3 linked regions of the Canis lupus familiaris genome follow. The protein of the gene in region 1 interacts with the protein of each later gene in a biochemical or structural test. Links are inferred from orthologs where the notes say so. Each region holds a gene or a part of one and is shown in the gene's direction. Other genes may lie near its edges.

Evidence for each region.
Region 2: the proteins of FGF2 (region 1) and PTX3 form a complex in vitro, tested with the Homo sapiens proteins (3 studies listed by BioGRID and IntAct, with this or other methods). The link is inferred for Canis lupus familiaris from reciprocal best matches to the Homo sapiens genes FGF2 and PTX3.
Region 3: the proteins of FGF2 (region 1) and FGFBP1 form a complex in vitro, tested with the Homo sapiens proteins (2 studies listed by BioGRID and IntAct, with this or other methods). The link is inferred for Canis lupus familiaris from reciprocal best matches to the Homo sapiens genes FGF2 and FGFBP1.

What each region holds. Positions count from the first base shown.
Region 1 is NC_049240.1:18,279,756-18,284,257, reverse strand, and holds part of FGF2 (fibroblast growth factor 2), read left to right. Parts: intron 1-1,385; coding exon 1,386-1,953; intron 1,954-4,502. UniProt on the Homo sapiens protein: Acts as a ligand for FGFR1, FGFR2, FGFR3 and FGFR4. Also acts as an integrin ligand which is required for FGF2 signaling. Binds to integrin ITGAV:ITGB3.
Region 2 is NC_049244.1:51,505,548-51,510,705, forward strand, and holds the start of PTX3 (pentraxin-related protein PTX3), read left to right. Parts: upstream 1-2,036; 5' UTR 2,037-2,123; coding exon 2,124-2,253; intron 2,254-2,697; coding exon 2,698-2,988; intron 2,989-5,158.
Region 3 is NC_049224.1:64,978,073-64,983,087, forward strand, and holds FGFBP1 (fibroblast growth factor-binding protein 1), read left to right. Parts: upstream 1-1,689; 5' UTR 1,690-1,841; intron 1,842-3,633; 5' UTR 3,634-3,653; coding exon 3,654-4,421; 3' UTR 4,422-4,776; downstream 4,777-5,015.

The sequences.
Region 1 (4,502 bases):
AAAACCGGTCCATTTTGGAGAGGTCAGAGAACATATACCAGCCCAGAGAAGAGTATGCTTGGTTTTAAAGCTCCAGTCTTCTATTTACCAACATAGAAATGCATGTAGATTTACTCTACATGCATTAAACCTCTCATGGAGACTTAGAGCAGATACTTTTGATGCGCTGATCTTTTGAAACCAAACATCTTTCTAAATAGAGGTATTCTCACATATTCCTAGAGGCTTTCTCTAATCCCATTGTACCCCCAAAACTGAATTACCCCTTGTCTGACATCTTACACCACCACCTCATTTTACTCTTCTAGGGGCATTTTGTGGTGTTCATCCTGCCCATGGATCGCACCTCTGTCCGGAGGTCCTGTGGGATCCAGCACCTCCCACTGAACTTAGGCAAATGCTTTGCATATAGTAGACACTTGAGACTAAGAAACTTTCTGGATGAATATTTGACTAATCCGTAGTACTTGTTCTATTCTACTGAAAATTACCCAAATCCAATTAACTTCAATTTTGTAGTTTGGGATTCTCAGAAAACTACCCTCCCTCCTAGGAACACCTAGCCATTTCGCCAAGGCTAGTGCCAGCTTCGGAGTAAGACAGCAGCACCCTTCCATCACAGAAGGGGTTGAGGCCTCTCCTCGTCTTTCCACGTCGTCTACTTCAAGCCAGGGTGGTAGAAGGAAAACCTTTTACTCCCAGCAATGCGGTCTGCTCCCCTCCTCTGGCCTCTTTCTTTCCTTTTGTTAGTCAAAGATTTCAGCCTCGCCTTCAAGTTTACCGGTGTGCGCCCCACGCAGGCCCCTTCTGGAGATCAGAGGTGTTCAAAACCCACACGGGGCACAGAATCACCCCCCCCCCATTTCCGATTCCTTTACTTCGGGGGGGGGGGAGTGGAAATCGTTTCTTGGCTTTGAATCGCTGACAAGGAAAAAGAAGGGGGGGGGAGAAAGTTGCCTTTAAACGTTTCAAAGTAGAGTCACGGCGGGTGGCACAGCCAAAGCTCCGCAGCGCGGAGACGGACCCCGTGCGCCCCGGCTGGCGCGACCTCGGGGGAATTTCGCGGGGTCGAGTCCCAGAGCCGCGGCGGCCTCCGCGGCCGCCCCCCCGCTCGCCCTCCGCACCTCCCCGCCCCCTGCGCTCGCCCCCCCCACCCCTCCTGTCGCGCGCTTGCGTGCTGCGGCCGCGGCTCCCGACCCAGAGGCCGGCCCCACGGAGCCCGGAGCGAGGAGGGGGCGGCGCGCAGGAAGGGAGGAGAGCGGGGGCGCGGGGGGGCGGGGGGCCTTCGGGGGTGGGGATGTAGAAGATGTGACGCCGCGGCCCGGCCGCTGCCAGACGGCCGACGCGGTGCCCGGGGCTGGCTGCTGGTGCCGGCGCTGCGCTAGGGGAGGCGGCCCTCCCGCGAGCGGCGGCCGCGGACACGCCCGGCCCCGGCCCCGGCCCCGAGCGCAGCTCCCCGAGCCCGAGCGCAGCTCCCCGGCCTCGAGACCGTGCTCAGCTCCCCGGCCCCGGGCGCAGCTCCCCGAGCCCGAGCCCGAGCCCGAGCGCAGCATCCCGGCCCGCGCGCAGCTCCCCAGGGCAGCCGGCGAGGGGAGCGGCCGGGCGGCGCGAGGCTGGGGGCCCGCGGGCGCGGCCGCGCGCTGCCGGGCGGGAGGCTGGGGGGCCGGGGCCGTGGCCGCGCCCCGGACCGGGTCGGGGGCCGGGGCCGGGGGGCGGCGGCGGCTCCTCGCGCGGCTCCGGGGGCGCGGACACCCCGGCAGAGCCCCGGGGGCGCCATGGCAGCCGGGAGCATCACCACGCTGCCCGCCCTGCCGGAGGACGGCGGCAGCGGCGCCTTCCCGCCCGGCCACTTCAAGGACCCCAAGAGGCTGTACTGCAAAAACGGGGGCTTCTTCCTGCGGATCCACCCCGACGGCCGGGTGGACGGGGTCCGGGAGAAGAGCGATCCCCACGGTGAGTGCCGGCCCGCCCTTCCCCGCGCTCCCTGCGGTCCCCCCGCCGCCCCATTCCCGCCGCTTCCTTCCCTTCCCTCCGACCGCAGCGGGACGTGTGGTTCCTTTCCGCGCGGCCCTCGCGGTTTCGGGTTCACCGCTCGCCCCCTCCTCGCCGGAGCTGCGGCGTCGGGTTAGGCGCTTCCCCAGGCTCCGGGCTGTGCCAGGTCCCCGGGTAGACCCGGGCCTCGCCGCCCCCCCCCCCCCCCGCGCGGACCACCTGTTGCCGCGGGGATGCCCAGCGGCGGGGAGGTGGGCGGGGAGGTGAGCGGGGAGGTGGGCGGGCTCGCCCTGCGCGCCCCGGGCCCGGGAGCCCAAGCAGGAGGGACCCAAGCGGAATAAATGCTCTTTATTGGAAAAATACCTTCCCAGAGTCGTGCCCTTAAACTCCGATTTGGTAGGATCCGAGCCAGCTGGCACACTGCTCTCACCCATCTCGTCCCTTTTCTCTTCAGTCCTTTGTCGTGTTTTTAGGGATCGCATTTTCGTAGGGGGGGGGGGCAGGAAAAGGGGAGGGGAGAGGGGAAGGAAAGGGGAGGGAGGGAGGGAGGGAGGGAGGGAGGAGGAGGAGGGAGGGAGGGAGTGAGGGAGGGAGGGAGGGAGGGAGGGACAGAGGAAAGGGAGGGAGGGGGAGGGAAAAGGAAAAGGAGAGTGGGGGGGAAAGGAAGGACGGAGTGAGGCCGGAGGAAGGACGGCGATGACGGACAGAACGGAACGGAAGTGGAGGGATGGGGTCGTGGGAATGAATGGACGTCTGACAGTGTCAGTGCCTTTCACTTCTTTCCTTCCCTTCCTTTTCCTTCCCTTACCTTTTCCCTTCCCTTCCCTTCCCTTCCCTTCCCTTCCCTTCCAAGGAAAAGCTTAAAGCAACATTTAATATTCTTTACAAGATGGAATTTGTGACAAGTTCAAAAGGAAAACTTGCTTTAATGCTTTAATGCTCAGATATCTATGTGATTTCCTCAGAAACCATCGTGGGCTTAGCCAATCTGGAAAGTGCTGTTCAAAGCAGTGTCACACTGGCCGCCTGAATGTATCCTTGGAGATACTGGAGCGCTTCTGCATTGAGGCTGGTGCTCACCATTGATGGAACCCTTCCTGGACAGCCTCTCCTCTCTCCCCCCCCCCTCCCCCTTTTTCCCAATTACCGAAAGCTTTCAGGGCAAAAGATAAGACTTTGAAAAAAAAAAAAAAGATATAGACTTTGTTAATAAAGTGTGACACACTTTTCTTTTAATAGTGACAAGAACTGCAAAAACTTTAATCTTCCACCTGCAGTTATTAGTTTCGGGACCTTGAGCCAGGTTCTTCATTCTTAAAGTGGGGATAATGTCTACCTTGCATCAGGTTTGAGGATCAGATGAGAATTTCTCCCAAGTGCGCAGAGGACTCGGTTTACTACTGTACACTTTTGTGTTCAGTAAAAAACAATCCATTTGTGGTATAGAAGTAACACTAGCCTACAGTCATTGGTTCTCAAACTTGAGGGGTACGTTAGAATCACTTGGGGGGTGGGGGTTATAGCCATTGCCCAACCTTGTCTCCCAGAGTTTCTGATTCCTGAAGGCTGGAGTGAAGCCTGATGATTTGCATTTCTAATAGTTCCCAGGTGATGCTGACCTGGGACAACACTTTGAGACCCAGTGATGTATAGAAAAGAGGAGGAAAGGGGCATGAAATGGACTGATTAACAGCACTGATGGAATTTGAAATGAGGGAAAGAGGATCAGTATATTTTAACTGTCATCCTGTGAGAGAGCGTAAAACATCCGTTTTAAAAGCTGTGTGTCTGGCCTTCCTTAGTGGTTTTTCAGGTGAAGAATCCAATCCTCTGTTTGCCTGACAAAAGACCAGCAGGAGTCCAGAGCTCCACTCCACAGCAGTTACCTCTTTATCAAAAGTTGCTCATGGAATGTCTGTCATTCACACCTGCGGAGCCATAGGTAGAGGCCACCTGAGTTGACCTGAGCTCAAGCAACCTGAGTTGACAAACGAATGGGAAATGTGCTTTTATATTGCTGGAGTATTTATTGATTCCAAAATAGCAACAAGCAAATGATACAGGTCTTTAATTTTTTTTCAGGCATGCCATAATTTTTGGATTTTATTAAGCACCCACATTATCCAGTAAAACTGAAAAGATGCTTGTAACCCAATAAATATGTGTTAGTACTGTTTCTCTATTTTAGTAACTTGAATAGGTTTCACAAACCTAAGTTTTAAACTTGGTGTTTGAAGTTTATTTTGCAGTTGGCTGCTAGGTTAGCACAGCAGATTAGGGCCAGGTGCCTATATGTCCCAAATAGTATTGTTCTTTTCTAGTAGCACAAATGGTCTGTAATTAAAAATAAATAGAGATGCCTGGGTGGCTCAGCGCTTGAGCGACTGTCTTCAGCCCAGGGTGGGATCCTGGGGTTCTGGGATCAAGTCCCAGTGCTCCCTGCATGGAGTCTGCTTCTCTCTCTGCCTGTGTCTCTGCCTCTTTCTCTCTGTGTGTCTCATGAGTAAATA
Region 2 (5,158 bases), on another chromosome or scaffold:
AAACTGATGAAGACACTTTGGTATAGACGTCCTGTAAATTCAGAGAAAAAAGAGAAATCCTATAAATTCCATGTATGAACTAATATTTTTTAAATTATGGAATATTTGAAGCCATTAGGCAAAAGTAGGCAATAAAGAATAAGGTCGTGCCCTCCAAAGCCACTTGGTGCCAGAATCACTTCCTATCCCACTCATTTCCTTTTTCTCCCCTAGGGCAACCACCATCCTAAAGTCGGTGTTTATCATCTTCATGAATGTTTTTTTACATTTCAGTTGCACGTGTATAGACCAACAAACATTTTATAGTGTTGTTTTGCAGGCTTTAAAATTTTTTGTCAGTGGTATTCATACTATGCAAATGTCTTTGCAATATTTAATTTTTTTTTACATTCAGCACTGTGTTGAAGTTTTAGCTCCAGGAAGCTCTCCATCGCTTACTCTCACAGTTGTATGGCATTCTATCGTGTAAGCAGGCAACAATTTATTCATACACTCTATGGTTGAAAGACATGATGATGATGATGATGATGATGATGCTTAGCTTTTACCAATAGTGCTGTAGGATGCTGTAATTTTTATACCTATTTCTTGACTCAGGAATGGGAGATCTTCCCGAGGGCACTGTTTTAGCACTGGATTGCTACAAAACTATGACCCCTACCTCCCTTTATTTGGGAGGTGGGGTGGCTAGCATCAGCTCTCAGGCTTACAGGGTTGGTCTTGGATCCCCACCCCCCACACCTCTTTCTTTGGCTCCTGGAGGTTTCCCTTACATTATCTGTAGCTCATCTGTACATTTAAAGTTTTCATTATAGTGGGATCACTGGGTGGCTCAGCGGTTGAGCATCTGGCTTTGGCCCAGGGCGTGACCCCGGGTCGGAGGATCGAGTCCTGTATCGGGCTGCCTGCATGGAGCCTGCTTCTCCCTCCGCCTGTCTCTGTCGTCTCTCTCATGTATAAATAAATAAATAAATAAAATCTTTAAAAATTAAAAAGTCGGCACTTGAGATGAGCACTGGGTGTTATTCTGTACGTTGACAAATTGAACACAAGTAAAATTATTTAAAAAGGAACAAACAAAATAAATAAAGTAAAACCCTATTTAATTATTGCAAAAAAAATTTTTAAAAGTCATCATAATGTAAATGCATTCCTAGGTGTTTTGTGCAGGAGAGTTTTCAGCTTATTTGGGCCTTCACATTTCGAAGGAAGCAGGAATCCCTAAACTTATTTTATTATTTATTTATTTAAATTTATTTATATTATTTATTTATATTTATTTATTTGTTTATTAATTAATTTATTTATTTACTTATTTTTACTCCTGCACTGTTGGTGGGAATGTGACCTGGTGCAGTCACTCTGGAAACCTGCGTGGAGGTTCCTCCTAAACTTACTTTAGGAGCGTGATCTCCAGTGGGATGATACAATTTCCACCTCACAGCAGCTCAGGAAGAGCAACGTTCCTAAAGTCAGCGCTTCCCTCTCCCCCGGTGCCGTCCTCCTCGAGGTTTGCGGGTGGGTGAGCCCCTCCCTGCGGGGAGCCTGCGAGCGGGCTCGCGCCTGCAGGGGGACCCAGATGCTGGGGCTGGGCTGGGGCTGGGGCTGGGGCTGGGCTGGGGCTGGGCCCGGGCCCGCCCCCAGCACCCGCATCCTCCCGCGCACGCCGGTCCCCCTGGGCATCAGCTCGCAGCAGCCCCGCTCCGCCCCGGGAGGCCGCGCGCGGGAAGGGGCGAGGCTCCCCCAAGGGCTGCGGCGCGGGAGCGGGGCGCAGAGGGGGCACGGCCAGGCCTGCTCCCCGCCCCCCTCCAGCCCTCGTGGGGACGGTCCCGGCCCAGTTTCCCCACCTCTTTCCCCTCTGACCCTCCTCCCGCTAATCTGGCTGCAGCATAGCCCCCGGCGGGCTGCTCTTGTGCAACGTGCCGGCCCGGGTCGCCCGCCCCCGCGCCCCCGCCCGCCCCCGCCCCGCTTCGGGGGGGCCCCGGGACGGCGCTGACCCCCGGCTCCCCGCAGGCGCTGCCGGCGCTTATTAGGGGCGCGGGGCCGGCCGCCGGTGTCCGCCGGTGTCCGCCCGGTGCCCGGTGCCCGCCCGCTCCCTCCCCTCGCGTCCCCCGGCGGCGGCGATGCGTCTCCCCGCGGTGCTGCTGTGCGCGCTCTGCTCCGCGCTGTCGCCGGAGGGCCCGGGGGACTACGAGCTCATGTACGTGGACCTGGACAACGAGATCGACCACGGCCTGCAGCCCACGGAGGACCGTAAGTCGGGGGGGGCTCGGGGTCACCTCGGCCGCGCCCCAGGGCTCCGCGGGGCCCACGAGGACGGGCTGCTGGGGAGGTCGGGGGGCGGCGGAGCTCGCAGCAGGAGCCCTGGGGAGCCTCGGGGTCACCTCGGCCGCGCACCCCAAAGGCTCCCGCCGGGTCCCCACGAGGACGAGCTGCTGGGGAGGTCGGGGGAGGTGTCGCAGCAGGAGCCCGGGGGCCGGGGGGGCTCGGGGTCACCTCGGCCGCGCACCCCAAAGGCTCCCGCCGGGTCCCCACGAGGACGGGCTGCTGGGGAGGTCGGGGGGGTCGCAGCAGGAGCCCGGGGTCGGGGGGGCTCGGGGTCACCTGGGCCGCGCCCCAGGGCTCCGCGGGTCCCACGAGGCCCACGAGGACGGCTGCGAGGACCGGCGGGCGGTGACGCGCGTGTCCCCGCCGCAGCCCCGCCGTGCGCCTGCCGCCCGGAGCTCAGCCGCTGGGACAAGCTGTTCATCATGCTGGAGGACTGGCGCGCGCGGGAGGGCACAATGCTGCAGGCCGCCGACGCCGTGCTCCGGGCAGAGCTGCGCTCGCTGCGCGCCGAGCTGGGCCGCCTGGGGACGCCGTGCGCGCCGCCGACCGAGGGCCCGGAGCCGGGGCGCGCCCTGGGCGCGGTGCTGGAGGAGCTGCGGCGCACGCGGGCCGACCTCCGCGCCGTGCGGGGCTGGGCGGCCGGGCGCTGGCTGCCGGCAGGTGAGCACGGGGAGCGCGCGGCCCGGGGGGCGGGGGGCACCTGCGCGCACCTGCGCTCACCTGCGAGCACCTGCGCGCACCTGCGCACGCCCCGCGCGGCGCCAAAACGCGCTGCAGAAGGCGGAGCCCGGGGCCGCTCCGTCGGGGCTCTCCACTCCCTCCAGGTTTCGGGGGGCTCTGGTCCCCGCGCTATTTCGGGGCCCAGCCTGCGTTTTAGGGAACCTTTCCTGGGCCGCCCCCCCCTCCCCTGCCTCCTCCCTGCGTGCGGGTTCTGAGCCTGAGGCTTGAGACTGAACCTGACCCCTGAAGGGCTTAGCGGGATTGCCTCCCCCCAAAAGGGGCCTGTGGGATTGACCAGCCCCGAGGGGGCCCCTCAAGTCCCGGAGGTTCGGGGGAGCCCTACATGCGCAGTGAGATGGGCTGCTGCGGGAGCACACTGGGAACCCTCCTCTCCCCAGGGACTTGCAGGGATGGGGGTGCAAACAGGAGAGAGGCGGTTCAAACCAGATAGGACTTCTTGAAGTCGCCCCCCCTCCTCCCCTGCCATCCTACAGGGATCTCCAAAAAACACATGTGGGCCCGAAATAACACGTTTGAAAGGTGGGTCAAAGAAAGGAGATTTGGAGCCAAAGAACACTCCTTTGTGGAGGCCAAAATCTCTAAGAGATAGCGGCGCAGGAATCCTTTGTTGGGCCATATGGGAAAATCAGGGACTTAGGTATGAAAACAACAGCTTTCCTGTGCCTGAGAACGTCGGGAACAGAGGAGGATGACTTACAAGCAGCGCCGCCCTCCTTAGAGTGGCCATAAAGCAGCTCAGCTGTTGGGGGGCAAGGATCCTAATGGTAAGCATGTGGGGGAGCATGTTTCATTTAAAGTTGCAGAAACCATAGCAGGGTGTCAGTCGTTCCTAAGTATTGGAGGACTTTATCAATGCTGAGCAGATTTTCTGGACTATTCAGTACAGTTTCGGAGACTGGAAAAGCATAAAACCAAATACACGATTAGCTCCTCAGTGTAAGTGACAAGGAGACAAAACATAATTCTGTGGCTATTCTAGTGGGTGACATTTCTTGTCTTTGGCAAAGCATATTAAAGTGATTGTACCTATGATGCACCCCCCCTCCCCAAACTGAAGAATTAACGCCAGTTTTCACTCACCTCTGTACACTGGTTAGAGCAGACAGGGATGTATTTCTGAATTCTAGAATGCTAATTCCTTATTCCATCCAATAGTACTTCTACCCACATGGTTTTATTTCCCCTCTCTTGGTTTCCTGCCAGCTTGGTTCCTCGGGGATTCCTAATTATTCTGTTGTCGGCCTCCTAAGAACCTGGTTTTAATTTTGTTTGGTCTTTGATAATATAATCAGAAAAACCTATTAGTTAAAAGCCATTTCATGAGAGAGTTTCTGACATTTTAAAGAGATATCAAGAGCTTCAATCACTGGTCCCCACCAAAAAAAAAAAAAAAAAAAAAAAGCCACAAAAAAACCTGTGAACACGAAATTCCACTCCAGTAACTCACACAGCCAGTGCAGCCTGCAGGGGAGGCTGAGTCTCTGAGAGGCCATCAAGGAATGCTTTGGAATGCAATCCTGCCTGCCTGGGTTTATTTAAACAGGAAATCAGTTAATTAGACTGCAGTAGGCCCCCTCTTGAACACTCCTTTACTGGGACTTTACAGAGAATAATATCTCAAATGGTTATGCATATGGTGATCTTTTGCTCCGTGATCTTTGTTTCACTTAATTAACACAGAAAAAAAAAAAAAAAGAAAGTACTGATTTCATTTGAAGAAAGATTGTCTCATTAAGAATGAATCTTAAAAATCTTCAAAAATTCAAATTCTTCAGTGAAAAAGAGAATACCAAAAACGTGACGGGACCAATTTGTGCTTTAGTATTGTAGGTGCTTTGATACGATTTTTTGAAACTCAATATTTCTTTGACTATTTCTAGGTCCACAGCTATTTGGTTTTTTTTAGGGCCGAGCGTAGCCCCCCAGTCACTTGCAGGCATTTAGCGTAGTTGAACACGCTCTGCACGGACGCTGGGTGCCTCCAAGGTCTGTATATTCACTCACCGGTTGGTCTTTAAATGCTCTGGACGCCTGCATGCCAGAGCTATTTTATAATAAATCTTTAGTTTGTTATAAAGTGAATAGCTAG
Region 3 (5,015 bases), on another chromosome or scaffold:
GGGTCAAGATGAATTTCTCATTTTGCAGAAGATCACTATGGTCTATTGCTTTCTGGGAAACAAAGCGGTTTTATTTTGCCTATGTCCAGATAATCATCCACTAAAACATCAGGTCATGGTTCAATAAGGTGTTCAGGACAATGGGGACGAGGGGGAAATAGCCACCTCCAATACAATTCATGAAGAAACTCTTTAAACCACTGAGTGAATTGATCAATATCCATACCTCTGTGACCTTGAAATTCCCAAATAGGTAGCTCTTGGATGAAAGCCAACCATAGTTAGGACTTTTGCATCTTTATTGTGAGCCAGGACACTGTTTTTAGAAAATCTCTATTAGATACCAACCCAATTTCATATCCACACATCTGGATGTTAATCTATTTTTTTAAAAGTACATGAAGTCTCCACATTTATTTTTACTAATGTATATGTGAAAAGAGTTCATGAGTTCTGAAAATACTGACCCCTATGCCAACATTCTCTCAGTCAATCAATGCTGGATGTTGACACTTAGATATCAGGACTACCCAGTTTGCCACAATCCCCATCATTCCTTTTGTCCCTGACCCCCAAAGACAAGGGTCAGTTGGCATTTACTATCACTCTGGTGTTATTGTTTCTTCAAACCTGAGTTAAATAGAAAATGAATGATTTCTTGAGTCCAAAAATCATGAAAGGTGAGGTGACAAAATGTAGTGAGATCCACATCTTTGTGAAATGAGTCTCCTTCAATATGTTTGTGAAAACTAAGTATGTCTGTTTTTAACAAATACACCTTGAAACCCCAGTTTGAGCCAAATCTGTTCTGCTTCATTTTATGTGAATAGCTTAGCCCCATAAAATATTTAATGTGAGCCCAAAATAAAGTACTGCTATTGTCAGCAATCTATAGATGAACAAATGGAGGTTCAGAGAGGTTAACTGGTTGGAGAAGGTCACACAGCCAAAAGAATACTATCTCCAGGATTCCACATAGATCATTCTAGTGTAAGACTCTCCCTATAGAACACTGACCAAAGGGAAGTCTGTCTGTGTGACCTGAAAGTGAATATTTACAGCAGAAATCCCCAGACCACTTTTAACCAGCCTTTCAAAACCATAGATTCCTTTGCCCCTATGGTAATTTCAGGTGCTTCTGTGAAAACGGACTTAGAAACTGGGATGGCTTTTCCAGTTTCAGTCAATCATTCACAAACATTTTCTTGAGACAGTGGGAAAGATCAGACAGTGCATGTGGGGAGTCCCAGTGCTCAATTCTGGGCTTCTCATCCTACCATCTCTGTGACCTTGGACAAGCCCTGAATATCAATACGCTCCAATTTTCCATCTGTAAAATAATAGGAATCCTTGTTACCATATCATGGGGTGGATATTATGGGAATTCAAGGACCACGTTAGGTAAAATGGGCAACACTAGGGCTTGGCAGCTATGATAGTTTTGTTATTGTTTATAATTCTCCACGGATTTTGCTGCCACAGTCCTCATCCCATTAGGAGGGACTTTGCAAGGCTGAACTGCTCGCCTATCCCGGCCCCTGGGGGAAAGGGAAGGTCTTGGAGGAAGCAGGTCTAATGTCCTGCAGTACCTCCCTCCCACAGGATTACACCATTACACCAACCACTTTCCCTGCAGGAACTGGCTCCCTCCCAAGGGGCGTGGCTGGGAGGAGTGTGATAAAGATAGACAGGTGTGTGTGTGTGTGTGTGTGTGTTGTAAAATCCTGTCGGTCTTCAATAAAAAGAGCCTTCCCTGCCTGGCACGGCAGATGAGACAGCTGTAAGCCTGCAAGCTCACTCTCACATCTGGGATTACACTGGATCTGCATACTCAGAACAAGGTAAGAGTCTGGCTCTTTTAAGAGTTTCAGTCCCCACCTTTCTTTTCACTTCCCTGAGGACCTCAGGATCCTGGGTTATGGATCTTATCAGGGACACATGGGGGCTGAGTCTCAATGCCCTGATGAAAAAGTGGGTCTTCACATGGCATGCCTAGGCACCTGTCCATGCTTCATTCAGGAGCCCACATACCTGTGACTGTCTCTCTTTCTCAATTCTGAGGAGAGGCCACAAGCCCAAGGTGGAAATAAGACCTGGACCATTTTCTGGGCCTGCCCCATATACAAGCAAAATCTATATTTTCTTTTTAAGTGGGGCACTGACAGTATGAATCATCTTATCATGAATTATACCAAATGAAACCCTGAGTAGTTTGTAACTTTATTTGTTGTCAGTATTTTCCAAAGGACAGAGTAAAGCTGAAACGCAATAAGTGAGCAAACTTGGTGGTTGGTGGTATAAAAGATCAAAGAGATAAGTTCTGGCTCCTTTCCCAGGTTTGTCACTTGCCCAATAAGGGATATTGAGCAATTTATTTACAGTATGAGCCTGAATTTTCACATCTGTTACCTGGGGTGATTTATTTTTACTTACCAAGCACAGCTTTTTTTTTTTTTTTTTTTAAGATTTTATTTGTTTATTTGAGAGAGAGAGAGAGCATGTATGCATGAGAGAGAGAGAGAGAGCGCGCACAAGCGGTGGGGAGTAGCAGAGCCAGAAGGAGAAGCAGACTCTCCACTGAGCAGAGAGCCTGATGGGGGCTGGATCCAGGATCCCAAGACCATGACCTGAGCCAAAGGCAGATGCTTAATGGACTGAGCCACCGAGGCACCCATGCAGTGATTTATTTTTAAAAGCATTGGTTGAGTGCTTTCTATATGCCCAGCACTGTGCCACCCAGGGCTCCAGAAATCATTTAGGTATCATCCTTCCCTTCAACTTCCTAATCTAAATGTTGTGGTAAAAATTCACCCCATCCAGGCTGGTTCACTTTGCGTAGTCAAATGGTATGACCTCCCCTCCTTCATGCCTTTCCTTATGCTTTTATTGCACCCTAAATGCCCCCCTCACAAACCCATCTATGTCAGAGTGTCCAAATCCCACACATGTTGAATGTCGGATCAAACGTCATCCTTCATGTCATTTGCCATGTCCATTCTTGTTGTGTGGTCACCTGAGTCCATGTAGAACTAGGTTAGAAATCTATCACATGGAGCCAGAGGAGACTTTGGGAATGATCACACCTAAAACCTCAGTATCCAGAGGAACTGAGACCAGAGGGGAAAGTGACTTGGCCAAGATCAAGTTGGGGACAGGATTGGGACAGACTCCTTGTCAATGCTATTTATATTGTTCAAAAATTTGCTTCTAATCTCTTTAAGATGTGACCTACTCATTCACATTAATAAAGCCAACATCTAGTCTGAGGCATGGTATATAGCAGATGCTCCATAAATGCTTGTTTAATGAGTAAATGAAGGAGTGAGTGAGTGAGTGAGTGAGTGAGTGAGTGAATGCAGGGGTAAAGGAGTAGTAAATGAGGGATGAGACTTTATTTGGCTCAGAGAGTGGTGAAGGAATGGAGAAAGAGTAGGAGGTTTTTGACATTCAGGACTCAAGTCAAGCAGAAATGTGAATAGATAGGCCGCTAGTCTAGTAATTCCAGGAACCAGAAGAATTCTTGATCTCACTTCTAAGCAAGGAGGCATGTGTCAGGGTATAGGGAGGGTCATCCTGCAGCACTGTATTGCTGAACTATTGCCCAGCACTGACTCACCTGCTCTTGTCAAACAGGTTCCCACCAAGCTGAAGACATGAGGATCCATAGCCTCACCCTGCTCTCCTTCCTTCTTCTGGCTGTTCAGGTATCATTGGTAAAGGGCAAAAAGGAAGTAAAAAATAGACATGTCAGCAAAGGCACCAGAGATAAATTGCGTGCTCTGGGAGAGACCCATACTGAGCCACACAAGCAACTGACCAAAGGCAAATTTGTCACTCGAGACCATGCCAACTGCAGATGGGTGGTGACTGAGCAAGAAGAGGGTATCGCCCTGAAGGTTGAGTGTACTCGACAGGATAACAAGTTTTCCTGTGTCTTTACTGGCAATCCAACTTTCTGCCTAGAGTCAAACAAAAAGAATGTCTATTGGAAACAAATTGGCCGGAACCTGCGTTCTCAAAAGGTCATCTGTGGGGATGCCAAAACCATCCTGAAAACCAAGGTGTGCAGAAAGAAGTTTCCAGAGTCTAATCTCAAGCTGGTGAACTCCACTCTGATTTGGACCAAGAAACCCAGCCAGGAATTAACAGAGCCCTCTCCCAGGGAGCAGAGCAAAGTCAGTAAGGCCTCCCTGGTGGAACCTAACAAGGTCAAAGAGTTATTCCCTAAGGAGCAGATAAAGGTCAAAGAGAACATCCCTTCTGGCTCAGTGGAGACCCAGACCATAGCCACCAAAGACCCCAAGTGTGAGGAAGATCCGGACTTAATAAAGCAGTCAAAGATAGCCCTGGACTACTGTGGGGAATCCTGGGGGTCTCTCTGCAAATTCTTCATCACCATGGTCCAGGGGAATTCATGCTAATGAGATCAAAAGAGAACAAAGTTCTTTAGGAGGTTTTATGTCAAAGCCCTTCAGTATGTGGTACAGTGCTCTGAATAAGATGAACATTTGTGCTATGAGAGTGCAGTGGAATATTTAAATGGGTTTTATAACTTTTGTTTTTGTGTTTTGGAGTTTACTTTATATTCATTTCCTTAAATTTTATTTTCAGAGGTTGTTTACCTCAGCATATGTTTCTACGGCTGACAAAGCTATGTGTATATAAGCAGTATACATTCTTTGATCTAAATGAACCAGAATGATGATTCCAGTGCATTGCACTTTCTGCTAAACTAACAAAGTTAATAAAGCTCTGGGTGTTTTTCAGAAATATGTTCAACCATTTTTTGTTTCTTTATGTATACTTTCAATGAACTCATAAACAGTCCCCATATATCAGTGGGAAAAATATGTAAGTAATGACTTTTTGTTCCCTACCCATCCTACGTCATTTCCAAATGTGACCCATTCCAGAATCTTTACCTTTATCCTTTCATCCACTGGTCTGTGGTGCTTGTTGCTTACTGTGCCGTAATAATTAGGATCCCTGATTTCAAGTGGGATAAATAAGGCATG